Macaca fascicularis: one gene and its partner. Each later gene encodes a partner of the first gene's protein in a complex. Links are inferred from orthologs where the notes say so. Each region holds a gene or a part of one and is shown on either strand. Other genes may lie near its edges.

Region 1 (16,252 bases):
GTCCAGACTCTGGAGCTGCCATGGCCTTGGTCACCGATGCCATGTCCGTATGGATGGAGAGACCCCGGCCCTCACAGCCTGGCAAAGGAGACCACAGGGAATGAGAGTCAGGGATCACTCCCACAAAGGCAATGGGTCAGACCACTGCAGGACAGCCTTCTGCTGGGAGGGTGGGATGCGGTGGGCTGGTGGCTCACCATCAGGCAAAGAGGATCCAGATGTAATGGTGCTCATGGAGGAGGAGCCCGGATAGGCTGGGAAGGTGCCAGTCAGAGCCGCAGAGTGGGACACCCAGGCAGCAGGGTCAATTGGCTGGATGGGCTCATCTGGGACAGAGATGGCACCAAAATGACCCATTCTCAGTCCCCAAAAGCCAGCCCAGTCCCTCCCTGACTCAGCCTCCTGTTCCACCTCTGCCTGGACCCTCCTCCCACCCACTCCCCATGACCAGAGGTCCAGCCCCAGCCTCCTGGCCAGCCCCCACCCCCAACTTCAGGCCCCCTCCCTGAGTGTCACTCACTTCTCGGGAGAGTGAAATAGGCCTGAGGAGAGGGATCCCAGCACTTGGCCACAGTCAGCACAATGGGGCTACGGGGAAGAGAAGTCCAGTCAAGGGCGCAGGGGAAGAGGAGGCCTCAGGAGAGTGGGGGCCTGAAGCAAGGATGGATTAAGAGACACAAAGAGAAGGAGAAGCAAGCACATCGCGGCTGGGCTGGAGAAGGTGAGGGTGGAAGGCACCACAATGCGGATGACTCATCAACATGGAAAACTCTTAAAAACATACTGCCAAATGAGACAAGAGAGTACACGCTGTACAATTCCATTCACAGAAAGACCAAAAACAGGTAAAATGAAACCGTGCTGTTCAAGGATACATGCAAGAATGGTAACTATCGAGTGAGGCAAAGCTCTCCTCTGTTATGGTGATAGCCAAAGAAGTCAGGAGAGTGACCACCCCTGGGGGAGGGAGGCATTTGGGAGCAGGAAGGGACATCTGGGGAGGAAGTTCTAGAATATCAGCAATCTCCTATTTGATGGTCTAAGTGGCAGTGACATGGATATTCACTCTAGTATTGATACGTCACACATTTGTTTCACGTACTTTCAATGTTATGTCTCAGCACTTTTTTTTTTTTTTTGAGATGGGAGTCTCGCTCTGTCGCTCAGGTTGGAGTGCAGCGGTGTGATCTCGGTTCACTGCAACCTCCGCCCCCTGGGGTTCAAGTGATTCTCCTGTCTCAGCCTCCTCACTAGCTGGGACTACAGGCGTGCGCCACCACACCCACTTAATTTTTGTATTTTTAGTAGAGACAGGGTTTCACCATGTTGGTCAGGCTGGTCTCGAACTCCTGACCTCTGGTGATCCACCCATCTCGGACTCCCAAAGTTCTGGGATTACAGGCATGAGCCACCACGCCTTACTACTTATTAAAATTGCAAAACAAAACATAAAAGAGAAAAAAAGAGAACTGAGGACCTGCAACCTGCTTGGCAACTTACCCAGGCTTGTGCACAATGTCCCTCAGCACCCGCACGGCGTCATCATTGCTCATGTTCTCAAAGTTCATGTCATTCACCTGGAAGCAGGGGAAGTGGGTCAGAGGCATGGTGGGAGAGGCTGAGGGCTCCCGTGCAGGGCAGCTCGGTGGCCACACCCCAGCACACCTGCAAAAGCATGTCCCCTGGCTCAATGCGTCCGTCGGCCGCCACAGCCCCACCCTTCATGATGGAGCCAATGTAGATGCCTCCGTCTCCCCGCTCATTGCTTTGGCCCACAATGGAGATACCCAGGAAGTTGTACTTCTCTGTGGAGAGAGGCCATGTGAGGAGAGGAGGCCCCCGCGGCAGGACCCCCAGAACCCTAGAGAGAGAGGCCATGTGAGGAGAGGAGCCCCAGCCGCAGGACCCTTGGAACCCTAGAGACCAGGCCCTCCCCACGCCCTAGCCACAGGCTCTCCCCATACCCATGTTTAGCGTGACTGTGATGATATTGAGAGACATGGTGGAATCTGTGACGCTGCTGAAGGACGATGTCTGTGGTGGGAAAAGAAGGAGCTAGAGTGCCCTTCAATGACCCAGGGTCAACCCTGGGGTGCTGCCAGTGTCCAGGCACCACCCAAACCAAAGCCTATGCCCCACCTTCTCCCAGCACCAGCCTTCCCGTGGGAACCCCTCACCCTCTCCAGGCGGGGTGGCCGCTGCTTCCTCCGCCGTCGGTGGCGCTTAAGGAGGCGGGAGGCACTGCTCTGCTCCGTGGAGCTGCTGAACCTGCCAGGAGGTTGGAAGGAGAGCAAACGTAGGCCAAAGTGGTCATGGGGCCAAGAGAAAGAACCAGAGGATTGACTGGAGGAGAAGAAAGGGGGCTGGGTGCGCTGGGGAGAGCTGTGCGGAGCCACACCTGCTCATGGTGTCCTCCTCGTCAGAGTCCCCCAGGCTGGTACTCTCCAGCTCACTGGTCATGAGGGTAGAGGAGCTCTCATATCCCGCCAGGTGGCGCTCCAGCCTTGAGGGGCCACCAGTCCTGTGGCCCCCAGCTGCATATGGACAGGAAGCTCAGGAACCAAACTTCCCCCTGCTCACCCCACCAAGGCTGGGGTCTGGCCCAGCCCTTCCCAGCCCCCAGGCCTGCCCCTCACCGCCATGCTCACTGCTGTCTCTCCTGCGAGGCCGCTCCCGCCTCAGTGACACTACTGACTCGGTTTCTGTCTCAGGCTCCAGATTCTCATGGCTGCTGGACACATTAGGGCTGGACAGGCAGAGATGGTTTCCAATCCATATCAGGAGAACAGGGTTCCGGATCCCAGGCGTACCCTACCAAAAGGCCTGGGTTCCCTCCTCACCTCCCTCCCTCGAAGTCAAGAATCAGAAGGACTCACTGAAAGGATGGAGGCCTTGAGTCCCCAATGCCGCTGGTCCTCTCGGGTGGCAAAGGGGGTAAAGGTGGGGCTGGAGGCGCCAGTTCTGCCCGAGGCTCGTGGGCTGGAGGAGCCATCTCGGGTTGGGGATTATCTGAGGACACCAGCTAGAAGGGTGCAAACAATAAACAGTGGCGCTCAGCTGGGAGTCGGGGTGTGACAGGTTGCAGTAAGTGAAAGAACGAAAAAGGGTCTCAGAGAGCTGGAGAAGAGCAAAATAACCTAGCAAGTATTAGAGACTCCAGAAGGAGAAGGCTGAGGGCCTCTCACTGGCTCTCCAAACAGATAAGAGGTAAAGAGCCAGGGCTGCTAATACCTGGCCTGGGAGAGGGCTACAGAAACGGACTGAGGCCTGGGGAAGCTTGGAAATGCAGAGGGGACCCAGCCCTCGGCGTCTGCACCTCTTACCCAGGATACCACCCTTCCGTTGAAGCAGGGGAGGCGGGCGTTGTCATCTGAAATTTCTTCCTTCACCACTCTGCCAAGAGACAAGGTGGAGGTCAGTGAGCTGGACCAACCACCCCCACCCCCACCCCCATCAAAGTTCCTCCCAATCTTCACCGGGCTCCAGGATGCTGACTTTCTCCCGCCCTGTTCAGGTCTTCTCTTACATTGAAAAAACTCACTCTGACACCTAAGAAATCTCCAAACTCAATCCCCTTTCCTTATTTCTCCTCTCCCTAACGCACCCTCAGGGGCGTAGTGCTGCTCCAAAGACTTGACTGAGTCTGATTCAAACCTCTCAGTACAATTTCAAAGGCAATCCCCTATGCTGATGCAGCTGCCTAAGATACCTATCTAATGAGACTGGCTGGTAGCCTCCTCTCAAGCCCATCCCTGTTCCTTACAAACCTTCCAAAAAGGCCGGGCACGGTGGCTCATGCCTGTAATGCTAAAACTTTGGGAGGCTGAGGTGGGCGGATCACCTGAGGTCAGGAGTTCAAGACCAGCCTGGCCAACATGGTGAAACCTCGTCTCTACTAAAATATAAAAATTAGCCAGGCATGATGGTGGGTGCCTATAATCCCAGCTACTCAGGAGACTGAGACGGGAGAGTTGCTTGAACCCAGGAGACAGTGGTTGCAGTGAGCCAAGACTGTGCCACTGCACTCCAGCCTGGGCGGCTGAGCAAGAATCTGTCTCAAAAAAAAAAAAAAAAAAAAAAAAAACCTTCCAAAAAAAGGCTTCGGTCCTCAACCAAGTCTCTACTTTTATACTTGCCTTTAGTTTTCACTAATTCATTTCCAGAAGACTGTCCTTTCTTGAGTAAAAACACCCATTAGAGGCCAGGCATAGTGGCTCACACCTGTAATCCCAGCACTTTGAGAGGCCAAAGTGGGTGGATTACCTGAGGCCAGGAGCTGGCCAACATGATGAAACCCTGTCTCTCCTAAAAATACAAAAATGAGCCGGGCACGGTGGTGCACACTATAATCCCAACTACTCCGGAAGCCGAAGTAGGAGAATCGCTTGAACTCAGGAGGCGGAGGTTGCAGTGAGCCGAGATTGCGCCACTGCACTCCAGCCTGGGCGACAGAGTGAGATTCCACCTCAAACAAACAAAAAACAACAAAAAACAAAACCACCCACCATTAGATCAAACAAACAATGGAAGCTCCTCATTAGACTGAAAGCTCCCAAGGAGAGAGCAAGCTGGCGCTCCCATTCCCCTGTGCCTCATCTGGCACAAAATTCGGCACGAAGCAATCTGCTCAGCCTGACAGATCCCAAAGCCCAGCCTTGGGGTCATCTCTCCAATGGGTTCCCTGTGGTGGACTGGACTTGCCCCTTCTTCTTGACCACGACATCAAACCATGAACACTTACTCTGATCAACACCATGTCCTGGCCACACACCACACACTGACACTTAGGCATTAACAAATACTGTCAACTAAATGAATAAACATATAAAGCATCAGACTCTCTGCCCTGGTTGTTTCTCTCTCTCTTTCCACACACACCCTTGCCGCCAAATTAGGACACCTTGTCTAATTAACCCATTAGCCTAATATGGTCATAAGAGCCAGGATATATATCAACTTAATCCATTTGCTGTCAATGTGACAACACAGCCCAGTCACTACCAATCTGTCTCAGCATCATGTAGGATTCTTCCCAACATAACACAATCTCAGCATAGCTCAGTCCACTCTTAAGACAAATTACTGTGTATCACCATAACCTTTATAGAGTAGTCAGCCTCAATACTAATGACAATTACCATTCACCAAGAATTCACCATGTACCACACACCTGAACTAACCATTTCATTCTGTGATTTTCTCCATGTCACAGACGAGATCAAGACACAAAATTTAAATTAATTGTCCAAGATTGCACTGCTGACAACTAGAAGAACCTTGACTTAAAGCCAAGATAACTCCCAAGATAGTATCACCCTTCCCATGTCAAACAATCTTTCTAGCTAGAGTCCAGTTTGTTCAGTTCTTCTAAAACCCATGCTATCTCAACTTAATCCAGCCTGCCTTCAAAAAAGCAGAGGTTGGGCTGGGCGCAGTGGCTCACGCCTGTAATCCCATCACTTTGGGAGGCCGAGGCGGTCCGATCATGAGGTCAGTAGATCGAGACCATCCTGGCTAACACGGTGAAACTCCGTCTCTACTAAAAAATACAAAAAATTAGCCAGGTGTGGTGGTGGGTGCCTGTAGTCCCAGCTAGTGGGGAGGCTGAGGCAGGAGAATGGCGTGAACCCGGGAGGCGGAGCTTGCAGTGAACCGAGAATCAGCCACTGCACTCCAGCCTGGGCGACAGAGCGAGACTCTTGTCTTTAAAAAAAAAAAAAAAAAAAAAAAGCAGAGGTTGAGGACCCAGAGAGGGCTCAGCCCCAAAGACCATAAACACAAAAGGGCTTTCTCTGCATTATTTACATGCCAATCTAGTCCAAGATAGCCCTGAATGTCCAAATTACCCTAGGATAGCCCAATCTATTCTAGCACAGCCTACAATGTCCCCACACGCAGCTGTCTGCACCAATATAGACTAGAATACCCCAATACAGCTACCTGTACTAGCATGGGCACCAACAGCCTTGTCTGCCCCCATACTGAGTGCTCCAATAAAACCATGTCTTGCCCCAAGATAAACCAGGATTAACCAATACAGCCCAGTAGAGTCCATAATGGCCCAAGTTTGTTTTGTTTTGTTTTTTGGTGTTTTTTTTTTTTTGGAGATGGAGTCTTGCACTGTCGTCCAGGCTGGAGTGCAGTGGCGCGATCTCGGCTCACTGCAACCTCCGCCTCCCAGGTTCAAGCGATTCTCCCTGCTTCAGCCTCCCAAGTAGCTGGGACTACAGGCGCCCGCCACCACGCCCGGCTAATTTTTTTGTATTTTTAGTTAGTACAGATGGGGCTTCACCGTGTTAGCCAGGATAGTCTCGATCTCCTGACTTCGTGATCCGCCCGCCTCGGCCTCCCAAAGTGCTGAGATTACAGGCGTTACAGGACTCCTGAGAACGTACTAAACGACCAGACGATAGATGAATTTACTCAGTACAGTCTAAAACACTCCAAAATAAACCAGTATGCCTCCACCTATTCCAGTAGAGCCTAATCGTCTCTAATCTGGTTTAGGATATCCTAGTCTGCCCGTGTGCCTCAATCTATCCAAGCATAACCTTGTCCATCCTGGGAGAGTCAACCTACCTCAGCATGGTACAATCTGCTCCACCACAGGCCAGAAAATCCTAGTGTGGCCCGAAGTAGATGTGTGCCCCTCCACGTCGCCCAATCCACTCTAGCAAAGCCCCCGTCGGTCCTATCTAGGCCTTGCGCTCACCCGAAATCCTGATCCATAGACTTGAAAAAGTACTTGGCGCCCGCGGGCCGCTGCAGGACGCTCTTGAAATCGCCGAGGGTGATGCGCTCGGCGGGGACAGGGATCTTCACCAGGTATGGAGTCTCTTCCTCATCCAGGTGGTAAATCACCTTCGTCTCCCCAACCCCACCGCCCCCAGCGCTGCTGCCCGCCATGGTCTCGCCCGCGCGCTCCCGGGCTCCACCGCCCACCCAAGGGGCTAATGGCCCCTGCCGCGCCTGCGCACACCCGCAAACCGACGAGCGAGCGCGGACAGGACGGACCCAGTACTGGAGAGAAGCAAAGGGAAAAAAGCAGGGGTCGGCAAGGGTGGCGGCGGGGGGCGGGCCGCGAGGTGCGACTCAAAGCCGCGGTCTCAGCGGCCGCCGCGCGCCACCGCCACCGACAACGCGAGCGTCCTCCAGGTCCCCGCCCACCTCTCCTCATGTCACGTGACCTAAGCCCGCCCACCCCGCGCTCTTCAGCCGCCCCCGTCACGTGACCCCTCCCAGTCACGTGACCGCGTGACTCCTCCTAGTGCCCCCGCCACGTGATCGCTGCCTTCGGCAACGGTCTCCCAGCCCCCAAAGGTGTACCCCAGCCGAGGTCCTCGGAGCACCCAGGATAAGCTGGCCTGTGCCCTCAGGAAGCGGACAGTCGGCTCCCACCCGGCTTTACCCCACACCGGCGGGAGCGCGAAGCAACTCTGACCCTCAGGAGTGTGCGTGCAGGGAGTGAAGGTGGGGATTGTGGGGGTTCCTAGACTCGAGTGGGGAGGGCCAAATACAATGAAAGCTCTGAGGTGGCTTACTCAAGTATCTTGGGGTGGGAGAGGCCCAGTGCTGTGCCATCTTCAGACTGGACTGTGAGAGGTGGCTTTCAGCACCACGTCCAGCTAGTCTTCAGCCACCAAAGCCTCCCTCCCAAGCAGGACAGTGAGGGCTATAAACACAAAAGAGCCCACTCTGCTTTATTTACAACACGCAGGCTGTCTGTACAAACAGCGGCCAATATTATTAAAAACAAAAGAGGTGAGTGAGAATCGTCACCTTTCTGCTTTCCTTCCTTGCTTGGCCAGGCTCTAGTACTCCACCTTTGAGCTGCCATGCCCAGTAGGGGAAGTCCAAAATTAAAAATACAACCGGTGTAGAAGAAAATAAATGGGGAGTGAAATAGAAGAAAAGATGAGGGAGGGGAGTGCTAATATTTACACTAGAGTTTTATAGACAACTGTCCCATTCCATCCCAATTCCAATCCTGACCCAGAAAGTGATGGTGGCAGGTCCAAGAGACAGAGATTATGTGTCTAGAGACACAGACAGCCTCCCACCCGCAACCGTAATGGGTTCAATTTCAAGTTCAGAGTGGGGAGGACGGATAGGGTAGGCAAGTGAGACACTCATTTTCAAACAAGTCTCCCTTGGGAATTCCTGCCTTGAAGTGCGGACAGTATCCAAGCTCCAGGGGGTAGGCTGAGGACCCTGAGGCTCAGTTCCCAAATCATGTTATCATTTGGAAGTTCCAGGCTAAAGTTGGTGCCGTCAGGGCTCTCCAGATTTGGGAGGCCCCCCTAACCGCCGGGCCTCTGGCCTCAGTTCCTTGCATTTCTGGCAATAAAAGAAGTCAGGGACGTTGGTCTTCTTAATCTTAGCACAGGAGAGGTGGATCCACGTCCCACACAGGCTGCACTCAATCATGGGCCGCCCTGCAAAGGGCTTTCGACAGTAACACGTGATCAGATCCCATGAGTCATCACCTGGGGAAAAAAGGTTTGTTTGGTATTCTGCCTGAGCAGTTGTTGGATCCACAACACCCTCAAACCCCTCGCCCCAGCCCAAACCTCTCACCTGATTCTACCATGATGTCCTCATCCATGACCCGCATCTCGCCTTCACTGGAGCTGGCATCTCCATCTTGGCTTGTTTCAGTGCTGCCCACCTCCTTGCTTTCACTGTCAGTAGGAGGGACTCCTTCAGGGTGCACTGTGGCAGGGGGCCTAGGAGCCTCGGGGGGTGTTGGGAGCACAGGGGCTGGGGCTTCACCCCCTACCACTGTTGCCATCTCTTCCTCTTCTTCCTCTTCCTCTTCCTCCTCCTCCTCTTCAGAGTCTGTATCACTGGGGGGTGCCTGGGGAGGCCCAGGAGGTGGGAGTCTATCCCCCCGTTCTGCCTTTTTTAACTTCCGCTTCTTGCTCTTCTTGATTCGAGATCTCTTTTCCCCATCCCCAGGAGTTGGCCGAGGCCTCCGAAGCACCCCAAAGCCAGCCCCAGCTCCTGGCCCCAACTTTCGGTTCTTTCGGTCCTTCTTTCGAGGAGGATGGGAGAGGTCCCCCTGGGAAAGGGGCACGGGGGTAAGAGCAGCAGGGGGCCGGGAGGTATGTGTCAGGGATGTGGGGGACAAAGGAGATGCCACCTTGGGCCCATCGAGATCAAAGAGAGAGTCCTTGAGCTTCATCTTCTCAAGCAAGGTAGCACTGTCGGGGGCCTGCAGACGAGAGAAAGTGGACCTTGGGGGTCCTGGCTGGGTGGGACCTGCTTGGGCTGCCCTTCTCTTGGATGACTTTGCTTTCTTAACAAAAGTCTGGATGGTTCGAAGATCTGAGGGGGCCGAGTCCCAGCCATCACTGTCGGCCGCACTCTCTCCTCGCAATGGAGAGCTGGAGCCAGAGGCGGGCCAGTCACTTTCCTTAAAAGGGGAAAGAGACCAGGGTCAGCAGAACCCCAGTGTCATCTCAGCCCCTCCACAAACCCAGCTTGAAAAGGAGTGACTAGATTTACCCCAAAATGTCCTCTACCTCAACCACTAAATCCCACTGTACTCCCAAAACTTCTCCCCACCCCAATTCCCATCAGCATGTCCTCGTGACCACTCCGTGTTACCTCCACCTTCGAGTCTTGATACCTCACCGCTGCCCCGCCCAGGGCCTGTGGAACACGGTGTCCCCCAGACCAGAGCCTTATGTCCTTAGCTCTTTTTCTGTGTAGCCTAATTTGTTACCATTTTCATCTCCCTAAAATTTATCCATAAACACCTTCTATTCACAGCACCTCAAGACTGCCAAAATCTCGACCAGCAACTCCAGAACCCCCTTGCTTTTCACTGCTGTTCAAGCTAGCTAGCCCTGCCATCCACTCCCTGCATACCAGCTTTCCTACCACAGTCCTAAGAATCTCCAACTTCCCTCTAGTCTTACATATTTCTAGGGGCTTCCTCCTATAAAGCAGTACAGTTCTATGTGAACAACAGCCACTCTCTAGTCCCACGACACGAGCCTCAAGTCAGTAATTCTCTTGCCCCTACCTCTTTGCTAGGAGGGATGTAACCAGCATATGCCAAAACAAAACTGCAGAATTTGTTGAAATCCTCAATTGTTCTCCGCCGTTTCTCTGGTGGCTGAAAGGAAGGAGACATGGATCACATGGAAAGCCACACAGTTTAAGAAGGGCATTCTCAGAGACACAGTCCCTAAGTGAGGCGTCTAGAAAAGGGGGGCGGGGGCGTTGTCAGGCAGGGCTACTAGGCTGCAAAGATCAAGGAAATCTCACCTGAGTCTCTGGCTTCAGGGTCGGAGGTGGATCTGGAAAAGCAATAAAAGCTGAGTCAAGACACTACGAAACAGTCTGTGTAAAATTCCTCCTCTAAACCCTGTTGTTCCTAAGTGAACCCCCGGCTCTCCCAGGTCCCTCTGCCAGGCCAGCAGGCCCCCAGCTGTGTTGGATCCGCCCCTGCTCCCCCTTCCGCCCCGCGAGGGGCGGAGCCTGGGCGCGGCGCCCTCTGAGGCCTCGCTATAGCGCTCCCCTTCCCCCAACCGGAGGCCCGGCGCCCCGCCCCCCCCAACTCACGGTCTCTCTCGACTCCAGTCTACTCGGATCCCTCAGCGCCCCACCCCACCTTACCGCTCCCGGGTCCGCGTCCGGGCCGCCGCCCGCCGCCCCCGTCCTTCACATGCGTCCAGAGCCCCGAGTTCCTACCCGACCGCGCTCCACCGCCTCAGGCCCTCCGAGACCGCACACGCCGCCCGCCGGCCCCCAGGGTCCAGGATGACCACGCCGAACCGCTCCCCGCCCTCCGGCCCCTTCTACTCGAGCACGCGGCCCGGCGCGCCCCTCACCCCCACCCCAAACACACACAGGCACACGCATCCAACGCTACTTCACGGCCGGGACAGACCCGGGAGCTCTAACCCGGACGCGGCCCCACCTGCCCCCCCCATACCGCGCTCCCCACAATTTCGCCGTCCCTCCGCCCCCATCCGGGGCTTTGGCCCCTCCTCGTTTCGAGCTCCCCGGGCTCCCCGCCGGGCCCCCCGGCCCTGTTCCGAGCCCTCTCCGGCCGCCGCCGCCCCCCCTCCGCCCCCGTACTCACCACCCAGTCACTAGGCTATGGACCCCTCAACTCCAGCCCCTTCCCCCCAACCAGCCACTCTCTCTCCACAGCAGCCACCTTTGCTGCCACCGATGCCCCCCTCACCCTCAGCAACTCCCAGGCTCTAACCCTCGCGGACCAACCCTAACCCCCCCGCAAGTCGCCGGTCTTAACCCCCCCACCCCGCCCCACCACCCCCTACAACTACCCAGCTCGCCTCGCTTCCTGGCTCGCTCTCTCCACAACTACCCCCCGGTACAGGTCCGTCTGCCGTAGACAATACCCAGACCCCCTCTTCTCCCCACAACTACCTGCCCACCCCTCCGACAATCACCGGGCATTCTCCGGCGGCAACTATTCGGAGCTCCCGTACCACCGCCACAAACTACCCCACCTCGGCGAACTACCGGGCCCCTCACTCAGCCTCTTCTACGTCCTCCCTCCTGAGCAACTCCCGGCCACTGGATTTCCCCAACCTTCCAGTTCCAGGGCCCCAATCTGCCGGTGGCCCTTTCGGGCCCTAACCCCCGAGGCTCCGGATTTCAAGCTCCTATCCCCCGCACCCCCCCACCGTCTGATCTCCAACTACCCCAGCCCAGTCTCCCACTCCTCTTTCTCCAAGGTCTCTCAACTCGTCGCTCTCCCACCTCCAGGGCCAGCCTCCCGACCCCCTCCCCGAACTCCCCCGCTGGGCTTCGGGGCTCGACCTCCAAGTTTGCCAATTGATTCCTCGTCCGCCCCCCCGCCGGCTCAGCGCTCCGCGCCGGTCGAAAGCTCACCTTCGGGACTGGGTTCCGCCATGGCTTCCAGCATCGCCCCCTCCCCTCCTCCCGGTCCGGCGCCCCCCTCCCCGGAGCCGGGGATCCCGGTGCCGCCTCTAGTGCTCGATGCTCCCACTGCTTCGCTCCACAGAAGTGTCCGCCTCAGCCCGGTTGAGACTCGAGTCCGCTAGCCGCTGCCGCCACCTCCCTCTACCACTGCCTCCCGCACTCCCGGACCGGGCCCCCTCCCCCCGCGCCGCCGGCCGCCTGCTCCCTCCTCCTCCTCCTCCTCCTCTCTCCTCCCTCCCTCCTCTTCTCTCCCTCCTCCCTCCGCCGGCGCCGAGGCGCAGTGCACCAAGGGTTTTGTAGTCCGTCCGGGGACAGCGGAAAAGGGACCGCATGAGCCTCCGGAACTTTGATTCCCAGAAAGCCACAGGCTGGCGCAGGCGCCCCAAGCCGCTCCCCTCCCCCGGGGAGTGGCGGGGAGACCGGGAGCCAGAGGAGAGAGCGGAAGTGCGCGCGCAGGCCCCTGGGAGATGTAGGCTGGGCGGGACCAAGAAAGAAGAGGAAGAAGGGATTAGAACTCTCGGCCACCATACTGTCTCGTTCTGCAGCTTCTTTCTCCCCCGAGGGACCGCCCCACTTCCGGCCTGCCGGAGAAATGATTGCTGGGAGATGAAGTATTCCTGGCGATAATGGCTCCCCCTCCCAGTCTTCTCCCTCCCTGATTCCACTCTGCTGAATCCCACACACCGGCAAAAGTCTAGCCAAGTGACATGCAACTGAGAACAGCCGTTTTACTAGCTTACACACATGAAAATATCTTCCTTAATTAGAATGTTCTAGCAAATGTGGATGTTCACCTAAAGCAGGTACTTTGGAACTTTCTCCACAGGAACCCACAGTAAAAAAAAAACAAAAGTTTTACGTGAGCATTTTTAACATTCAGTTTCACATACATGTCATAAAACTAAAGTTTCATTAAATGATCCTCAGTATTCCATTCCATCACAAAAAAGCACCCTCTTTTTGCAGACAGGGAAAAGCCCAACATGGACAGAATAAACCAAAATATACTTCTATTCCTCCAGCTTGTACCCAATACTCCTTTCCCCACCACTGAAACCCACTGACACCTTGGAAAGACTAAAAATCAGCGGGACGAGGGGAGCAACACAAGGCAAAATTCAGTTCAGCTTGGTGGTTTCCTCTTTATTGATGTGCCTCCTACCTTTCCCCCCACAATTTCAGTCCCTTCCAACTACCCCCAAAAAAGAAGGTAGTGAAAGGAAGGGATTGCTGGGGTTCTGAGCCCCTTGGGCAGTCAGAAAGGGAACAGAAACCAAAACAATCACTGGATGTGAAGAGACTGACAATCAAGAAGTCTAAAGCAGGATGGGAAAGGCGGGCAGAGAAAGGGGAAGAAAGGAGAAAGGAGAGGTACAAGATGCCAACTCCACCATTACCCCTCCGAAAAGAGGCTGGAGAGAAAACTTCAAACATTAAGAAGTGCCCGTCCTGAATAAGGGAGGTGGTGTTTGAGCTTGAAGGAGGAGGAGGTCAAGAAAAGGGGGCCACCTCTCTCTTTGTAGAATGAGACCCCCCTCCAGCTCAGGGACAGCAGCTTCACAGACCGTAGACACTCTCGTCACTGTAGGCAATGTAGAGAAAGAAGTCTTCTTCATGGTGTTCCTGGGATGAAGGCAGAAAACTGTTCAGCAACTGGGCTCCAGTTCCTTAAACCAACCACGACCCAGACACTTTCTTCTAGAACCAGAAACCAGTGCCCGACTCCTTCACTGACTCCAAGGCCTAGCACACGAGCAATATAATCTCTGCAGTCCTGGGCAAAAAAGGCCTCAAACTGTTTTCTGCTGCTTTGGAATGGGGAGGAAGACTGGGAAGAGTCCCGAACAGTTTCTCTAGTTCACTGTTCTCTTTCCTTCTCTCTACTCCTACTGTTCTGTCCCAACCCCCAAACCACGGCTATTATGAAATGTTAAGGCAAGCGAGGAAGCTAGTCCAAAATACTGATGTAACAACACTTTCTTCCCCTCACGCTCTTCCAAGATTCCTCTCCAAAGCCTCCACCACTTCCCGGTCACCATACCTGGTAGAGCTGACCCATTGTGGCACTGGTGGGTGGAATGACATTGTTGACAAAGAAAAACAAGGCATCCTCAGCTCGGAGATGAATTCGCTTCCGGATCAAGAAGTAGAACTGACCAACTGCAAAAGATACAAGGTGCAAGAAAGTCACAGAGGTCAAAAATGCCCTCAAAAGAACAGCTGCTAGGTGGAGCCTTCTCCCACAGAGACTGCACTCCCACCCACGGGAAGCAAGCCTGAGCCTTGGGTCAGGTTCCCACCTGTGAGATCAGAAGGCACCAGGTATTTCTTTTTGTCCAGGTCTCCTATCCGAGCTTTGGGAGCCTTTTCTACTATCACCTGATAAAGAGACGAAAATTAGCAGACAGAAGGAATGCAGCGCCAAAGCTGCACCTGTCAGGAACTCAAGTAACAATATTCCTAGTACCTAAATCTACCCCAGACTCATCTCTTTGTCTTTGTACACGCGGTGCAGCACTGAGTCCCAGAGATCCTGACCTCACTGACTGGAGCTTATTTAAATATCCAGGATCCATCCACCGAATAGGGCGTCACCATAAACAACTATCTTAATCAGACGGAGATGACTTGTCTGGGTCCACTAGTGATTCAATCTCGCAACCTTAGCTAGTTGGGGGTATGGCCATTTGAGGCTCAGGCTGTCAAACTCTCTAAGGCCTCCACTCACACAAATGCTAAGGTTTCTCTCTCCTGTCCACATCCCTCTCAACCCCACGTCCACCACTACCCCACTCCTTTCATCCTCGGTCCCAAGGACAGCAGTTTCAGGCTCGCTCCCAACCCCAACACAGCCAGCAGCCTGATCCCTGCGCTGCCCGTCCCAGATCCAAGGCCAGGCTGTGGCGTCAGCGTAAGCGTCCCGCGCCCTCGGCCCTGGCTTCTGTCCTCACCGGCACCCGGTCCGGGTATTTCTTTCGGATTTTCTCGCCCTCAGAGCGGCGCTTCTCGAACGGATGCTCTTCTTTGTACACGAACTTCATCCTCCCGGGAACCGGGCTGGACCGGGCTGGGCTGAGGGAACCCGGGGGGGCCGGGACGGGGGGCGGCGGCGACGGCGGCGACGCGCGGGCGGATTCAGCGGAGCGATCCACGAATTTGCGCCACTTCCCTATTCACCAACCCCGCCCCCGACTATCGGGGACGGCCCCCCCACTAAGATACGCCACTACCTCAGCGGTGCTAACGCTGCTAGCGTAGCACCACCCACTGACCGGCCCCCTCACGCCATTAGCGTAATCGCTTTGGAATCAATTTGTGGGCTACGCAGGCGACGTAGCAAAGACGGTTGGCTTTTGGTCATGGAAAATAACTCTAAATCTGTTCCCCAACCTTCCCCTCAACGAAGCTGGGGCTGAAGAGGAGTAAGATATGGTAATCATCATACGAGACTTGCTTCTCCAAGTTCCTTTCGGAAACAACGTAGAGGAACAGCAGAGACAATTACAAGGTTAGCTATTCACGAACCGTATTGCTACGCTGAAGGCGGCCGTTGACACCAAAACAAAGTAGTACCCAAGTGGCGGAGATGATCTCCAGAAGTAAGAGGTCAAAAAGAAAACAGATGTTTGGAGAGATGTACAGAACGCTTAAGTGCCAAGAATGAGTAGACCAATAGGGACTGGAGAGGAGGTTGGAGGGGTAGGGACTACGCCAGCGCGGAGGAACACCGCACGGTTTGAGTGAAATCATGTGATCTCAAAGAGGGCGGAGCGTCACGTGGCGGGTGTGCGAAGTAGGGCCGGCTTGGGAGGGCGCCGGGGAGGCGGGGCCGGCTGGGCGACGGCGGCGAGTGGGGACCTACGCCTCCCCGGACTGCGGAGGTCGGGGCGCCAGCCGCCTGGGGCCAGCGCCCGCTTAACGTGTCCACGTCAGTACCCCGGACGAAGCCCGACGTTTCTCCAGCTCTACGCCCTTTGGCCGTCCAGGTTTCTCCTTACTTGCTTTCTAGCCTGCTGCTCCGAAGGTATCTTTCCACTCCCCACCAGCGCGCACATCCTCGGCCCTTCCCGCCAAAGCATCTGGTGGCCACATTCATTATTGTATCCCCATACTCAACACCACCTTTCCCCCTGCCCCTTGAGTCCAACAGCAGTCTCTTCCCTCTCTGCTCGGGGGACAGGGTGCATGTAAACAAAGTTCCCTCCCTTCACTTCCCAAAACCCCAGAGAAGGACCTAGGGCCGTTTTGGTTTCAAAGTTATAATGCATGGTTTAAAAGAGAAGAAAGGAAAAAAAGACACAAAGCTGGTTACAGGTCTGAGGGAGTC
Region 2 (16,047 bases), on another chromosome or scaffold:
TTAAATACATATTTGCTCACTGATTGATTAACCAGTTCTTATTTTACTAAAAGGCCCAGCACTCAATAGTAAATATGTTATCCAATAATTTTAGCATTATTTTGGTTTCCTTTTATTTAAAAAAGCATTAAATTATTACTATAATTGTTTACATAGAAACCTATATTTTTCAAAGTCAGAATTTCTAGAAAATAATTTTATAGTCCTTTTACTTCAAATGTTTCTATAATGCTGGCAATGAAATTTTCTAAATGAGCTGCTTAGTTTCTGTAAGTCTCGTGACATTTACACATTATATAAAAATACGTATTGAGGCAGCCACAAGAAACTCTCCTAGTTAGAAAAGGAACCTAAAAGTTGACTAGCTTCCTGCCCCTGAGTAACCCTAACTTAATAGGCAAAGTCTTCACCCTAATGAACTTTGCAAAGAATAGTAAATGTGTTTGAGATTATTATTCTTTAAAAATAAGGGAATTATATAATTAAAGCCTAGTTAATATTTAAATACAATTTTTTTAAAATGGCAAAATATGCATTATTTTCCTCCCTTAGGATTCAGAGGAACAACCAGATTTTGAATTTTCAGCACATCCCAGGCTTACATCTTACACTATCTATAATATTTGTTTAAAATACAGAATTATAGTATAATTCAGCTCTTTTAATTATGAAAATTACTCCCCAAGGAAGGTTACTATGTCAAAAGTATAAATCATTTTTATGTGAGAATACAGAATTTTCCACATGTACTTAATTTTTCTCAAGATATTAATAATTATTACAATTTTTATTACAATAATTTTAGTTGATAAACTTTCAATGCTGTAAAGTCTGAGTATGTTCCATATTCTATACACAAACATCCAATTTAAAATCAATAAATAAAATTCAAAACTTATACTAGGTAAGCTATTTTTTATACAGTATGTAACATTATCAAAGTTTAAGAAATAAAACTTTAATGAGTAAAAAAAAAAAATCACCTGATTTATTTCTAACAAATCAAAGACCTTAAAACAGAAATTAATTTTTTAATCACCACTGTATTCTTTAGCGTAAGTGACAGGACAAAACATGGAAATGTTACTGAGAAATAACAATTATTTTAATCAATAACGCAAAAGATCAAATCATATGCCCTTGCACCAGGAGAGGCTTCAAAAGCAACTTTAGGTTGGCACAAACCTATTATATCACAAAAAGTACTGACTATATTAAACATGCATGCAAGGAGGGCAACAAATTCATGGAAGTTTAAAGGAAAGAACTGGTTGATCTCTAACTCTGGGAGGCAATATTTTTTAATATAGATCAGGGCAGAGGTGGATTTACTATGAAGTTAAGGTAGTTTAAACTTTAGTGGCCTTCACTTGCATGAGTCCCTTTCAAATCCCTGGAAACAAAGCCCTACTAATTTTATATTCATAATTTTTACTCTTTTTCTTATAGAGCCCTCTCCTAAACTGTATAAACTACAGGGCCCATAAAATTGCATTCGAGGCCATTTTAGTGGAAAAGTTTTAGATTTAGGAAAATTCTATAGAATGCTAAAGAGAAAGCACAGGAAAAAAGTCTATAACTTAGGGAAGACAAGAGTGCTGGCAGTTCATTCACTCAATATTCATTAAGTATTAGGTACTTTGTTAGCACTAGAGAGATAAAACCTAACATGGAATACATTCACTATCAATGGATAATGTCATAAAATGGGCAAACATTAGAATCTTTTCTTTTTCAAAGTGATTCTACTACTAAGGGACTGTTGAACTATACTCCTACCTTACTACTTCGCAGCTGCAGCCTAGAAGGGGTTCCTTAACTACTCTAGGTTTCATTTTCTCATCTGTAAAACTGGGATAACAGTATTAACTGTACTTCAGAGGGCTGTTATGAGACTGAAACAAAATGAATTCAAACTGCTCCATAGAGCATCTAGCTCAGGAGTGTCCAATCTTTTCGCTTCCTAGGCCATACTGGAAGAAAACTTGTCTTGGGTCACACATAAAATACACTAAGACTAACAATAGCTGATGACGTTAAAAAAAAAAATTCTCTCTCTCTCTTTTTTTTAGATGGAGTTTTGCTCTTGTTGCCCAGGCTGGAGAGCAATGGTGCGATCTCGGCTCACCACAACCTCTGCCTCCTGGGTTCAAGCGATTCTGTCTCAGCCTCCCGAGTAGCTGGAATTACAGGCATGCGCCACTACACCTGGCTAATTTTCTATCTTTAGTAAAGATGAGGTTTCTCCATGTTGGTCAGCATGGTCTTGAACTCCCAACCTCAGGTGATCTGCCTGCCTCGGCTTCCCAAAATGCTGGGATTACAGGTGTGGGCCACCGTGCCTGGCAAAAGTCTCATTATGTTTTAAGAAAGTGTATGAATTTGTGTTGGGTCACATTCAAAGCCATCCTGGGCTATATGTGACCCTTGGGCCTCGGATTGGAGAAGCTTGATCTAGCTCATTGTGCTCTGTAAATATTAGCTCTTCTTTTTTGATTTGATGGTAGAATTCAGTGGGATAATAGATATTATAACTTTTTGAAAATTTGTTTTTAACACTGCCAGATGCATATTCCAAAAGATACAAGTGGACATTTAATGGCATTTCAAATTTACAAAATATGTGAACTACTAAAACTAAAATAAAAATTATTTCAGAAAATTACACCATAGCAGATTAATCTTGACCTTGATTTGTGCATGAACTATGCAGCATGAATTCTATATTCTGTAACTGTCTCTCCTTCCTGACTGCTTTTTCCTTTTAGGTGAAAGTATCTCCAACATTTCTCAACTGTCTTGTATTTTCCAATATGTAACCCACTTGTTAAATAAATAAGTTCCATCTGGTACATACTTATTTATGACAGTGTCTGTTTCGATTTCACAGGCTGGTGAATTCCTTTGCCTAGGTAAAATGCTGATGATACTACGGTTGTAGGTGTGAACTCTTAATAGGGTACTTTGTTTTTATCTGATATAGAAGTTAAAATACACTTTTGTAAACAAATGACATTATTACAAGGAAGGAAAGGAGCACAGATAAAAATATTATGGTTATTGTAAAAATAATTCAAAAGTATATGCCTCAGTTAAATCTAAACAGTGAGTTGGTCATATATTTGGGAAAGCATATTTATATTTTAGTATTCTTGAATGGATTCAATTTAAGCATTGACTCAATAAGAAATACTTTATCAAACTGCTAATGTCTTAAATTCTTAATAGATTGTTAAGGAAAAAAGATTAACAATTAAAAGATCATATTGTTGCTTTGCTCTTATAAAAGTAAGTGCTAGTAATAGGCTGCAAAAATATGGGTAGATTACCTTTTTTACAGTGCTCCAGAATTAGAAATTATAGTGCTTTAAGGCACAGCTGCATCAAGTATGGCATTCTTGACAGAATTGAATAGCTTTGAGAAAAGCAGACTTTAGGGAGCTATCTTCTAAACTTTTAATAACTATCAGCAGGAGCTAAGACCTACATATATTACTATTTTAGAAATTTTACTGTTAATTGACAAATTATAATTGTTTATGGTATACAAAGTGATGTTATATGTATATGGTTTGAATGATTAAATCAAGCTAATTAACATATTCAGCACCTCAAATACTTAACAATTTTTGCGCCAAGAACATTTGAAATGTACTCTCTTAGCAATTTTGAAATGTACAATACATTATTATCAATTATAGTCACTAGGAATGTAATAGATCTCAAAAAAATGTATTCCTCCCGTTTATCTGAAACTGTAACCTTTGACCAACATCTCCCTATTCCCCTCATTTCTCAGCCTCTGTAAACCTTCATTCTATTCTTTGCTTCTGAGTTTGATTGTTTTAGATGCCCCATATAAGTGAGATGGATCATGTAGTATTTGTCCTTCTGCACCTTGCTTATTTCATGTAACATAATGTTCTCCAGGTTCATATACACTGTTACAAATGACAGGCTTTCCTTATTTTTTTAAGGCTGAATACTATTCCATTATGTAAACATAGCATATTTTATTTATGTTACTCTGCTGATGGACACTTAGGTTGATGCTAAGATCTACATTAGCATCAGGACTGAGGTTAAACCAATCAGTACAAGATAAATGGAGCTAGGGTGGTCGTCAGAGAAAACCAAGAGGCATTGGAACAATTCAAGGTGCCTCACCTTATATGATCAGAGCTACTTAGAAGATTCATGTGTTCTAATATATAGTGCTTATTCTGGACCAGACACTATTTTAAACACTTAACTAATTTTAATGAACTTAATCCTCCCAATAGTCCTATGAGGTGGAACCATTATTTGCTCAAATTCAGGCATAACAAAACGAAAACCCGGAGAGGTTTAATGACCCGTAACCCAGCCATAATAGCAAAGTGGTGGAGTCAGGTCTTAAATTTGGGCAGTCTGGGTCTGGAGTCTCTGATATAAACCTCTTTATCATGATGTCTCCTTCTTGCACTGTTGCATCTTTTCACTCCACCTCCACTCTGAAGTTATCAATTCAATGGAGTTTGTTGAATTTTTTAAATGAGCTATTTGAGGTAACTGACTTAATAGAGAAAAAATGCTTACAAAGGAAAATAAAAACTTGAAAGAGCCAGTGTGATCATTGAATTCTGCATACTCACCGCCACATTTGTCTCTTGTTCAGTTTCTGGCACGTAAGGGTAATGGTTATAAAACATATCGTTTCGCACCATCTTTTTCCTCATCCTGCAGGGCCCTTCTGTCATCTCCAGCATCCACTTGTCCAGGTGGGAGCCGATGGGAGGGCCCCACAGCCCCCGCTCCCGCAACAGCTCGCACTCGATCTGGCACCACTCTTCCGTCACGTACTTCAGGGCATTCTGCTGACGCTGACAGGAAAGAGTCCAGGTCGGTTTTCAAGCAAAAGCAGGAGTAACAGTAACAAGTCTACAAGTCACTGAAAATCAAGTTATTACTTGGAAACAAACACAATCCACACCATTTCAGTTAATCCTATAAAAGTAAAATTACATTCGTTTATGGTTAAAGTAAGCGGGTTTGTTGTAGAAGGTGGACTTCTTAAAGCATCAAGTAAATGACAGACATGTATAGGGTAGAGCGTGCAATACAGTGGAACAGAGAGTTCAAAGAAGTCTGTTTATCTGGCACAGGAAAGACGGTAATATTACGATGAAAATATATTGAAATGGTTAGCCCTATGTGCGCTAATAAATACATATGGTAATTTAAAGATACACCAAACTGGAAAATAGCTACCACAACATGTACGGGGGATAGTCTAGGAAATCAGATGAAGAAAAAGTGCCAACAGGCTTGATTACTGGTGAACTAGGTAAACATTTCCAAAGATTTTAGATGAAGAATATAAACATGCAGCACTAAGAGGAAACTTGACATTCATACAAAAATCAAAGAGAAACCATTTTCTCCTGGCCACTGGGATAGATTCAAACCATTTTACTTAAAAGGAAATTATGTCACAGTACAAGTTCTTCTTGTCTATCAAATGACAAATATGTAACATTTCAACAGTACACAATGATAAATAACTTGCCCAACGATTCATGGAATGTAAGTATACACAATTTAAATCTAAAAATAAAGATTTCTAAAACATAACTGTCAGTAAAGATTACTGAGTAAATAATTAAAAATTTACCTATCACAGTAGTACTTATATGTTCTTTGGTTGGGGAAACTAAGGATCTAGTGTGATATCCATAAAATATTAGCAGTTAACCATTCAGAAACCTTTAATAGATCCAGAATAGCTAATCTGAGAATAAAACATTTAAGATAAGCTTTTGAGTAATTATGAATTTACCAAGAGAATTTCAATAAATTTATTTTTCACTGACATAATCACCAAGCACTTGTAGGGTAGTAAAAAATAATTTCATTTAATCTTGTAATTTTTTACAATTTTAAGAGACTTCTCAGAGACTTGGATGCATGTTTTCACAATCTCCTTGTTAAAAGCCTGAAAAAGAAGGCTCATCCTTACATTTTTATTTTTATTAGGAACAAAGACATGTAATGTGTCAGTAGTGAATGTCAACAGAATTCAGCTGGGCTCATTTTCAGTTAGTTGCTTTTTGAAATGCAGTTTGTTGACAGAAGATTAAAATTTTCCATCCTAAAATCAGTAGCCAAAGTATCTGATGGCAGGAATAATTAAAACCATCATCTGATGATGAATACAGTCCAGCAAGTACCTTAAAATGGGCAGAGAGATACCAGCACAAACAGAGACCTTTTACATACAAAAAATGTAAAACAAACCATTATGATGATTATAAATCCTTACCTCCTGATATTCTTTATATTGTGTATCTACTAAGTCGCGAACAACAGCAATGTGAGTAAACATCCACTGCGAAATCTCCTAACAATGGATGGAAAAAGAGTCTTAATATTTCATGGATTTCTGGAAAAAAATAGTTAATTACCCTTGAAATTAATGCTAAATAATTGGTTAAAATTCTGCCAAAAGCACCAACACAGAAAACTAAAACAAAAATTCGGAATGAATTCCATGCTTGTGTGATGGACACAGATCTGCATGCTCTCCTACCCCCCAACCCCCTTCAAGGAAGGGCTTGCTGCCCACGTTTCTGGGCTACTGTCGACACCCTCAGGGATGGCCTTAGCTGCAGAAGGAAGATGGGGCGCCCCACATTCAACGATCTAGGGGTGAGAAGAATCACATATTTCAGCTTAATGGAGGTCAATTCTAAGAGGGTATTCTGTCCTCAAAGCTCCACTTAGTTTGGCTGAGGCTGTCACTAGACCAGCACTGCAGCCTGACTTTTCCCTATATCCAATCCTGCTTTCTTCTCCCTTCCACAGGTATTGATTCCAAGGGCACCCCCTAATATACATTATGCGCACTAAACTCCATCTCAGAGTTTGCTTCCTAGAAAACCTAACCTGATGCATGAGATGGCTGACACATACTCAGACCCTTTCATAGCTGCCACTTAGATTCTGGAATGGTGAAGGAAGTAGGAGGAAGAAGTTAATGCTGGAGGCAGATGAGCTTTTAAAAAACCATCAATCATAGGTATATACAACAAGTCTAAAAATTTAAAAAGACTTGTTCGGCTATTGCCTTAAAATTTATATAATTATTAGTAATAACATTACTGAAAGTTGGGAAAATTGAGAGAAAATTATCCATAGTCTGATCATATATTAATCTCTATATCTCATCTTCTATCCAGTTATAAGATGTGTATAAGTAAATAGCACTAATAAATACTTTTATCATAAGAAAATGAGAGAAATTCCCATAGTCTGGATTACTTCTATCTTTATTCTAAAGCAAAAATACAGGAAAGTTTCATTTCCAATCAACTGCTTGTACATGTTAAGTATATTATATAAAATACTACAACTAAACCTTGAAATATAAATTTCTAATAATATCATCAATGAAACTAAAAAAGTACCTGGGTGGAAAGACTGTGTTTATTAAGACCACTTTCTTTTCGATTCCTTCTTGATCCTGTTAACTTGGAAAGACCAAAGCCACTGCTGACACGGGATAATTTGGACTGTGTGGTGGGCACTAAAGCTTCTCCTCGACTTATGCATTTCTTTTCATGGGCTATGAAAAATTAAATTAGATTATTTTATAATTTCTCCATTTATGAATCTTCCTTTTAAAACTTTCATATGTAGTTATAAACTACAACGCTGTAGTTAACAAAAGCAGCACATATTACAGATGCAGACATTACATTTAGATATCACAAATTTATTTATTGGTAATCTTGTTTAAGGATGATTGCTTACAAATTATTGTATTACCTGAACTTACAGTTGGTTGAAACTTCACAGCTCTGTAATAACATGTACATTTAACTATGAGTTTCTATATTAATAATTCATAATCACCTAATTAAAATCTTTGGTGTTGGGTATACTTCGCAACTTAGAAATGTTTTGGATTTTTAAAAGGTTATATAGCTTATACACTGTAGATTATACAATGGCACCAGAGAATCTACAGTAAAAAGCTATAATTTAATACATCAATATTACTGCAACAAAATGTATGAATATTCCCATACCAAGTAGGACAAAGAAAAATAAGTTAGGTTCTGCTATAAAGTCAGTTTTGGCACCAAATTAATGAAAAAACAGAGCTTTTTGAATTTCAAAATTATAGTTAAGGGATTGTTGACCTGTAGCCAAGACAGTGACCATACTAGAGCTGCTAGCAATGTATAACATTCTGAATGCAAAAATGCCTAATGTATAACATACCTCAGATACAAAAAAAAACTCAAAGAAAAGTAAGATCTCAGTATAATCATTCTAGAATGGTTGTTATATTGATTTTCATTTCTACTGACTTTATAGTATCCTTTTGGGAATGCTGTAATCACATATTTAAAGTATACCCATATATGACAGCCAAATGTAAATCTCCCGGTCATAATATCTCTATAGGCCTTACCCAAATGATTCTGCCAGCACTTCAGGGCAGCTTCTTCAATGAGTGGCCTTGCTGTAGCTATGTCCACGTGGCCCCTTTCATTCACAGGCAGAGTTACTTTGAACAGCTCCTCTAAGACTTGTTTCTTACTATGTATCAGTTCAGTCCAAACTCTGTTGACAGCTTTTATGAGAAGCTGACGCCCTAGTAAACAAACAAACAAACAAGCAAGCAAATGACCAAAACAAGGCATAAAGTTAGTTTTTATTTTTCTTCATGTTTACATGTAGGAATTTTGACTACAATATTTAATTGTTTAAAAAAAAAAAAAAAGCTCATGTTGTATCTAGCCCAGTGAAAAGGTTATTTAGACAACTCAAACTGTGGCTGCCTATTTAGAAAACATTAAAAATATCTTTGTATTCATACAAAAGAACTACATTTTTATTTATAAAATTGGAAATTATATACATGTAATTATCTAACTTTTTCTAGATTAAAAACTTATCCCCCATTTAAAAGTAATTTTTAGATCTGAATGTTTAAGGTGAGTTCAAAACTAAGTTAGTATTCTTGAATATTTTGCACAAGAAAAGAAATATTTTGAGAAGACTTTTACTATGAAATTCATTCTTACTTTGGATTCCTTGTTTGTATGCCTGACACCTCCTCCAGACCAGTCAGCCCTCAGCAATCACCTGAGGGCCTGTGATAACAAGCTCTGCTAGTCCCTCACCCCAGGGTTTCTAATTCAGTAGGTCAGAGTAGGGCAACAGAATCTGCTTTTCTACTAAGTTCCCAAATGATATTGATGTTGCTATTGTGAGGACCTTGCTATGAGAACCAATGCCAGTTCCTCAGGGGGTGAAAATAATAACCACATCTTTGGTGTTTAGGATTCAAAACATTTTGGTGAAAGAACAGAGAATAAATTCATGTTTAAATGAAGGAATGAAATTAAAACGAGTGCTGGGCTTCCTGACAATGAAACCATATGTAAAACTATTGCACAGTATTTCTGAGGAGAAAAACACTACCAGAGTGATTTCTCTTTATCACTAAACATGTGGAAGTAAGAAATCAATCCATACAAGGACTTCAATATGCAATGCTTACAGGATCAGTGGGAAAACCAGATTGAAAAAAAAGAGAGGGGCTGGGCACAGTGGGCTCACATTTGTAATCCCAGCACTTTGGGAGGTCGAGGCTGGTGGATCACTTGAGGTCAGGAGGTTGAGACCAGTCTGGCCAACACGGTGAAACTCTGTCTCTACTAAAAATACAAAAACAATTAGCCAGGCATGGTGATACCCGCCTGCAGTCCCAGTAACTCAGGAGGCTGAGACATGAGAATCACTTGAACACGAAAGGTAAAGGTTGTAGTGAGCTGAAATTGTGCCACTGCACTCCAGCCTGGGCGACTGAGCAAGATTCTGTTTTTTTTTTTTTTAAAAAAAAAAAAAAAAAAAGAGAGAGAGAGAGTATAAAGAAGAATAAAAAATAGCACTATTGATAACCTGTCTCAAGCAATATTTGCCTACTCTGATGTGATATGCCTAGCATTACCACTGGGCAGTTCTCTTTATAGTTAATTCCAAGGTAGTATTTGAACTTAAGCAAATGTAAATATTAATACCACCACCAAATCTCACAGTGTTACTAAGAAATGATGAGCTTAGCAACATTACTGGTTTGTGCTTTACTCTTACTGGCATGAGGGGACGCTTTGTCTATGTATAGGTTGCTCTACTGGGAGAGTTGCTATCAATGCTGGCAGTTTCTGCAGCCAGTTTGTTGGTTATGTCTTAAAAACTGGAGATAAAACAACTTCAACAATTTAAAAACATCCCAAGTTGAGGCAATTACCTTCACTAATATCTTGGCTGTAACTACCATCTGGTTCAATGTCAGAGGGGATCATAATGTGCCATGTGGTCATGCGGGCTTCTGCTTCCAGTCCAAATCCATCCACGTTGCTGAAAAATTCCAGTCAGTTTAAACTTTATGAAGGAAATGATTAGCTGCAGACTACAGTAACTAAGAATTACTCTATTTCCATTACCAGCAGACACTGAATGTCTACTCAGCAGATGCACAGAACAGAGCTCTAGTTTGCCAGGAAGATGCCATTTTTAAGAGGTGATCAAATAAATCCACTTGACTAAATGTAATTAGACTAATCTATAGCATCAAGATTATTACCTTAATATTTAATATGCCTTTTGATTATTGTGAACATTTTAACCTAACAATTACAAAATGTTCATTCAACTAACATTTTTCTAATATGCCTGTGTCCTCTCTCCAGTCTTATATCTCACTACTCTGCTTCTGTAGTGAAATAGTTGCAGTTCTCCTAAGGTGCCACTCTTTCTTCCCTCTGGGCATTCATACAGACTGTTCTTTCTTCCAGTAGCAGTTGTCTCCATTCTCTTGTCCTCCCCAACCAGGTCTCAAGCTGCAGCTCAGCAGGTATTTCTTTCAGGTTAGGGGCCCCTCTTATGTGCCTCCAAAGCACTGGGTTGTTCCTAGCAGATCACTCAATACAGCTGACTGGTCTTGCTTAGCTGTTTCCCCTCAAGAAGGCTGCCACAGGGTCTATCTTACTCACATTTTGTACCACCCCCTAATTCAAGGCTTGGCCCCGGGAGACTCTAATGAAATATCTGTCAAAGCAATCAACTGGAAAATACTAATTTTACTCATTTAACACATAACACTGCATTGAGCTTTACTTTTTACTTCTCTTAGACTTCAATGGTATGTATTTTGTTTGCTTTAAAAGCAAACTGCCTTACATAAGTGACATATGGTGATAATGGGAAATTTTACAGGTGTAGAAAACTAAGTTAAAGGAAAAAAGATACCCATAATTTCACTGCAAAAATGCAACACTTGCCCTTTACCTTTTTGCATAAAGGTTTAAATAAAACAGAATAAGGGTAAAAGAAAGGCTACTATCAAAAAAATGAAGAATTTTGTTGGAATAACATCAAAGCCAAATTTAACATGGCAAACTGAACCTAAAGGATTTACCTTCCAACATGTAGATTGATCAAGCAGTGGGCCAGACAGCTAATAAATTCTTGGTCATGGTTCCCAGGTCCTAGGATCAAGTTTCTGTTTACAGTGAGGACCCTGAGTGAATCAAGCAGAGCTACTTGCTGAGGAACAGTTTTGTGTGCCCGTGAGAACTGGTACAAGATGGTCCTATTGAGGCAGTGATACACTGCATCCAGTGACAATCCCTGTGATCTTCTCTTTGACTAAAGACACGGAAGATATGTTTTTAGTACAATAGACAAAAGTAAAACACCTGTTAATCATTCACACCTGAACTTTTATTAGGTCTATTATATACCAGATGCCATGCTAAGTATGAAGGTGCTAAGTTAAAAGATACAAAGCTCTTGCTACTATGGATTTCAGAACCCATGAGTCACATGAATACCACTTAATGAATGATATGATGGCTACATTAAAAAAAACAGCTCCCAAGGAGGGGAGCCACTAACGCTGCTGTGGGCAGAGCAGTCTCCCTGAGAACACGAGGATGTGACATCTAGGGGAGTCTCCTCACAAATATATTTTGTTAGGATAAATGATCACTATTCAAAAGTACTGAAAAAATTAAGATGTTACTAAAATCATTTTTTTTGACATTCTAATTTCATCCCCTCGTTTGAGAATTTTTATCTTTGGCTTAAATACAAATATATCCCTTTAAAAAGACTTAGGTGACATGAGAGAGCCTATGCATCTGTGTACCATATGCTAATGGTATTTCCTACTTTATTTCCTACTTTCTACATTAAGTATTATATAAGATTAATCAATTGTGCCAAACCAGGCCAAACCCTTAATTAAAAGTACTGTGAACATGCACAAAAAATAACAACTTCAAGAGAATATAAACTACAAGGAACTTTGTAAAGATTCAACTGGTAAGAGAATATTCTTTTAATATCAACTCTTCATGCTGTGTAAACCTTTACACATGGATGTAGTATACAGTACAAACCTACCAAACCATATTAAGGTATTTAAATCTATCGGGGTAGCAAAGAATAACACCTAGGCAACTTTACAAGGGACACACTGGCACCAGGCAATTGGTAATGGGGAGGGGTTCAAAGTCTGTATGTCTATTCAGTTTTTTTTTTTTGAGACAGAGTCTCGCTCTGTCATCCAGGCTGGAGTGCAGTACTGTGATCTTGGCTCACTGCAACCTCCGCCTCCCAGGTTCAAGTGATTCTCCTGCCTCTGCTTCCCAAATAGCTGGAATTACAGGCACACACCAACATGCCTGGCAAATTTTTGTATTTTCGGTAGAGACAGGGTCTCACCATGTTGGCCAGGCTGGTCTCCGACTTCTGACCTCAAGTGATCCGCCCGCCTTCGCCTTCTAAAGTGCTGATACTACAGGTGTGAGCCACTGTGCCTGGCCTGTCTCCATTCACTTTTAATAAGCTTAGCTTTTTATTAAATGTTAACATTCATTATCTTATTAGTTACACTTCATTTCAACAATTTTGATACCATAGGCAAAGTTTTCAATAGGAAAACATGTACTCTACAACTGATAGTGACAATGGATTACCTGTGCAATTAGTTGAATTATAAAATCTATAAGAAGTTTAGATTCTTTGTTGAACATGCCTTGCCAAAGCTTGTCCACCACACGCTGTGTGAAATAAAACACATTGTTCACCAATACCTGGTAGCTTCCTCCACTGGTAATAGGCAGAGATGCGTCTTCCCCTAAATTCCAGTAGGAAAAAAATGTCTAAGAAAATTGATATCTAGCAACACAAGATCAGATCCTCAAAAAAATAAGGCTAAGGAAAAATAAGTGTATCTACAACATGTAGAAATATGACTACTAGCTTTTATGTACTACTTCAAGAAAATGACGTTCAATGGTCAGAAATCAGGATGAATAATTTCAGCAGGATAAAGTGTTATGGATTGAAACTACCTGTGGAGTCTCCTATTGCCTAAACAAGAGTCTGTGATAAACAAGCAGTTCTGCAACATAAACTGTCAGTCACAGGTGTTCTCCATTTGAGAGAAAAAGGGCCAGTTTATTAGCTCTTAATTGATTTTGTGTAAGTAATAAAGGGTAAAACTGTAAAACAAAACTGTTTTAGAGTATAGCTCTAATAGCAGTGAAGTAACACAGACAGAAAAGAGCTTCAGGAAAATTGTGAAAAATAAAGTATAATCAATGTTGAGGGGTTTGTTTAGCCCCTCCATCATTACCATTGGCTCTCTTTCTAAAGCTATCTGAGTGTTTTCAGTGTGTTTGCATATACATATTGCTTTCAGACTAATCCTCCTAGCTCCTCCTCCTAACCAGAATGCTTCCTCTAAGCCAGGGGTCCCCAACTCCCAGGACATGGACCGGACCACACAGCAGAAGGTGTGAGGCGGGTGTGCAAGCATTACCACTGGAGCTCCTTCTGTCAGATCAGCCGTGCCATTAGATTCTCATAGGAGGGCAAGCCCTATTATGAACCGTGCATGCAAGGGATCCAGGGTTGCACAATCCTTCCGATAATCAAATGATAAATGTAATACTTGAATCATCACAAAATCATAATCCCACCCCCCGCCCCGGTCTGTGGAAAAACTGTCTCCAACGAAACTGGTCCCCAGTGCCAAAAAGTTTGGGGACCACTGCTTTAAGCCTTTCCTCCACAGAAATTCTGGAGGTTCGATTTTTATTATTCTCACCTAATGCTAATAATAATTTTTATTATTCTCACCTAATGCCACAGAATTTGATTTTTATTATTCTCACCTAATGCTAAATTGCCCCATTAATCAAAATTATTTGTGTTGTGTCTTTGTGTAGTATGACTGCTCTAAACTGATAAGAATAAGTACAAAACTGTGACTTGACTTTGAGAGTGCATAGTTGCATGTTAAGACAATACTAAAGATTTCCTGGCAAATTTACTTCGGGAAATAATTGTAATTTAATAGCACAGAGGTTATATGATTAGTATTATTGCTAGGAACTCAAAAGTAGCATATATAGTATACTAACCCATTATGTTTCCTTCTCTTATAATTCTACTTTGTTTTATACACAAATGTTGGCTTCATTGTACATGTATTAAGTTTCATATTTTTATTGTAACTAGATATAGACATACAGAAAAAACACATTTCAATGTGTTTTGACTCTATGTCCTGGAAGCCATACTAAAAAGATAACATACATATACCTATGACCCAACAATTCCACTCATAGGTATATACTCAATAGATATGTGTAAGTATTATACACATATGTGGTCCATATGAACATGAATGTTTATAGCAGCTGTTAAAATTATCTCAAGGTGAAAACTTTCATATGTCTGTCAAGAGTAAAATGACAAATTGATATAATCACATGATGAAATACAATATATTAATGAAAACAATGGACTCCTGCTACATGCAACAAGATAAATCTCACAAATATAATGTTGAGTATGAGAAGCCAGACAAAAAAGGAAAGAGAAAAGGTGATGTTAAAAAGTAGTTTTACTTGGGGCTTAGAGAGGAAAGTGATTATAGGTATTTTTATAAAATAAAAACACAGAATTACCTAATAACACATCAGCTGCAAGCAAATGGTCCATCACACTATCCAAAATGTAAGTTTGAAATTCTTTTTGCTGAGTTCTTGTAGACCTTTCAGGGGAAGCCTAATCAAGAAAATTTAGGATTAGAAACAGAACCAACAACAAAAAAAATATGAGCTCAATCATATTTACATTACCTAATGTATTAAAAAGATTAAAAAATCCTACTGATAAAATTTTTAAAATGCCATGAGAGATGGTATACATGCTTATGGACTTTCACATATTTTCTAACTACAGAATTAAAAAAAATTTAAAGTAAAGGTGAAACATCATCTTCTTTTGAATCAATTTCTTAAAACATAGTATTCTAAACATTATATTTATTATATGGTTACAGTTTATATTATATAACATATAATATATAAACAATATATATAGTATTGCTATATAAAAACTGTTATATAACTGTTATAATAACTGTTATATAAAAACTGTTATATATATATAACAATACTATATATAAATATATATAGTATTGTTATATAAAAACTGTTATATAAAAATTGTTATATAAAAACTGTTTAGCAATATAATAAATATTTGACTGTTAGCACACCTCACTTCCAAAAGAGATATGGCAGTTTATAATGAAATACAGATAAAATAAATAACAAATGAATTATAAAGCCATTAAAATAAAAAACCCCAAGAATCTAGTAATCAAGAGGGCATGTCAATAGGGAGAGGAAATATATTTGTAACAAAAAAAAATTAAGCACAAATTTAGCTCTGAGCTTCATAGGTGTCAAGAAAACAATAGTTTACAAAGCTTTCTATTGTCTATAAAAAGAAACACATAGTGTCACAAGTGCCTACAGTCCCAGCTACTACGGAGGCTGGGGTGGGAGGATTGCTTGAGTTTGAGTCAAGCCTGTGCAATATAGCAAGACCTTTTTATGAAAAAAAGTAAGAGGGAAAGAAAAACACAATAGATGGTCAGCAAAGACATATGTTTTCCTAAAACTGTTC

The links.
Region 2: the proteins of GABARAP (region 1) and WDFY3 are in contact, whole or in part, in a crystal structure (PDB 3WIM), measured with the Homo sapiens proteins. The link is inferred for Macaca fascicularis from reciprocal best matches to the Homo sapiens genes GABARAP and WDFY3. Residues at the interface, in NP_009209.1 of Homo sapiens: Glu17, Ile21, Lys24, Tyr25, Arg28, Pro30, Lys46, Lys48, Tyr49, Leu50, Val51, Pro52, Asp54, Leu55, Leu63, Lys66, Arg67, Phe104; in NP_055806.2 of Homo sapiens: Glu3342, Lys3343, Asp3344, Gly3345, Phe3346, Ile3347, Phe3348, Val3349, Asn3350, Tyr3351, Ser3352.

The regions. Positions count from the first base shown.
Region 1 is NC_088390.1:7,276,721-7,292,972, forward strand, and holds GABARAP (gamma-aminobutyric acid receptor-associated protein), read right to left. Parts: upstream 15,086-16,252; 5' UTR 14,967-15,085; coding exon 14,877-14,966; intron 14,305-14,876; coding exon 14,226-14,304; intron 14,086-14,225; coding exon 13,967-14,085; intron 13,549-13,966; coding exon 13,483-13,548; 3' UTR 13,048-13,482; downstream 1-13,047. Other genes in the region: DVL2 (segment polarity protein dishevelled homolog DVL-2), read right to left, coding at 1-78, 198-326, 521-588, 1,501-1,577, 1,666-1,805, 1,965-2,034, 2,178-2,268, 2,399-2,534 and 4 more; PHF23 (PHD finger protein 23), read right to left, coding at 8,272-8,486, 8,578-9,415, 10,031-10,123, 10,276-10,307, 11,875-11,908. UniProt on the Homo sapiens protein: Ubiquitin-like modifier that plays a role in intracellular transport of GABA(A) receptors and its interaction with the cytoskeleton.
Region 2 is NC_088379.1:49,041,552-49,057,598, reverse strand, and holds part of WDFY3 (WD repeat and FYVE domain-containing protein 3), read right to left. Parts: intron 15,139-16,047; coding exon 15,039-15,138; intron 13,199-15,038; coding exon 13,038-13,198; intron 11,704-13,037; coding exon 11,474-11,703; intron 10,414-11,473; coding exon 10,304-10,413; intron 8,642-10,303; coding exon 8,459-8,641; intron 7,604-8,458; coding exon 7,446-7,603; intron 6,380-7,445; coding exon 6,302-6,379; intron 4,863-6,301; coding exon 4,635-4,862; intron 1-4,634. UniProt on the Homo sapiens protein: Required for selective macroautophagy (aggrephagy). Acts as an adapter protein by linking specific proteins destined for degradation to the core autophagic machinery members, such as the ATG5-ATG12-ATG16L E3-like ligase, SQSTM1 and LC3.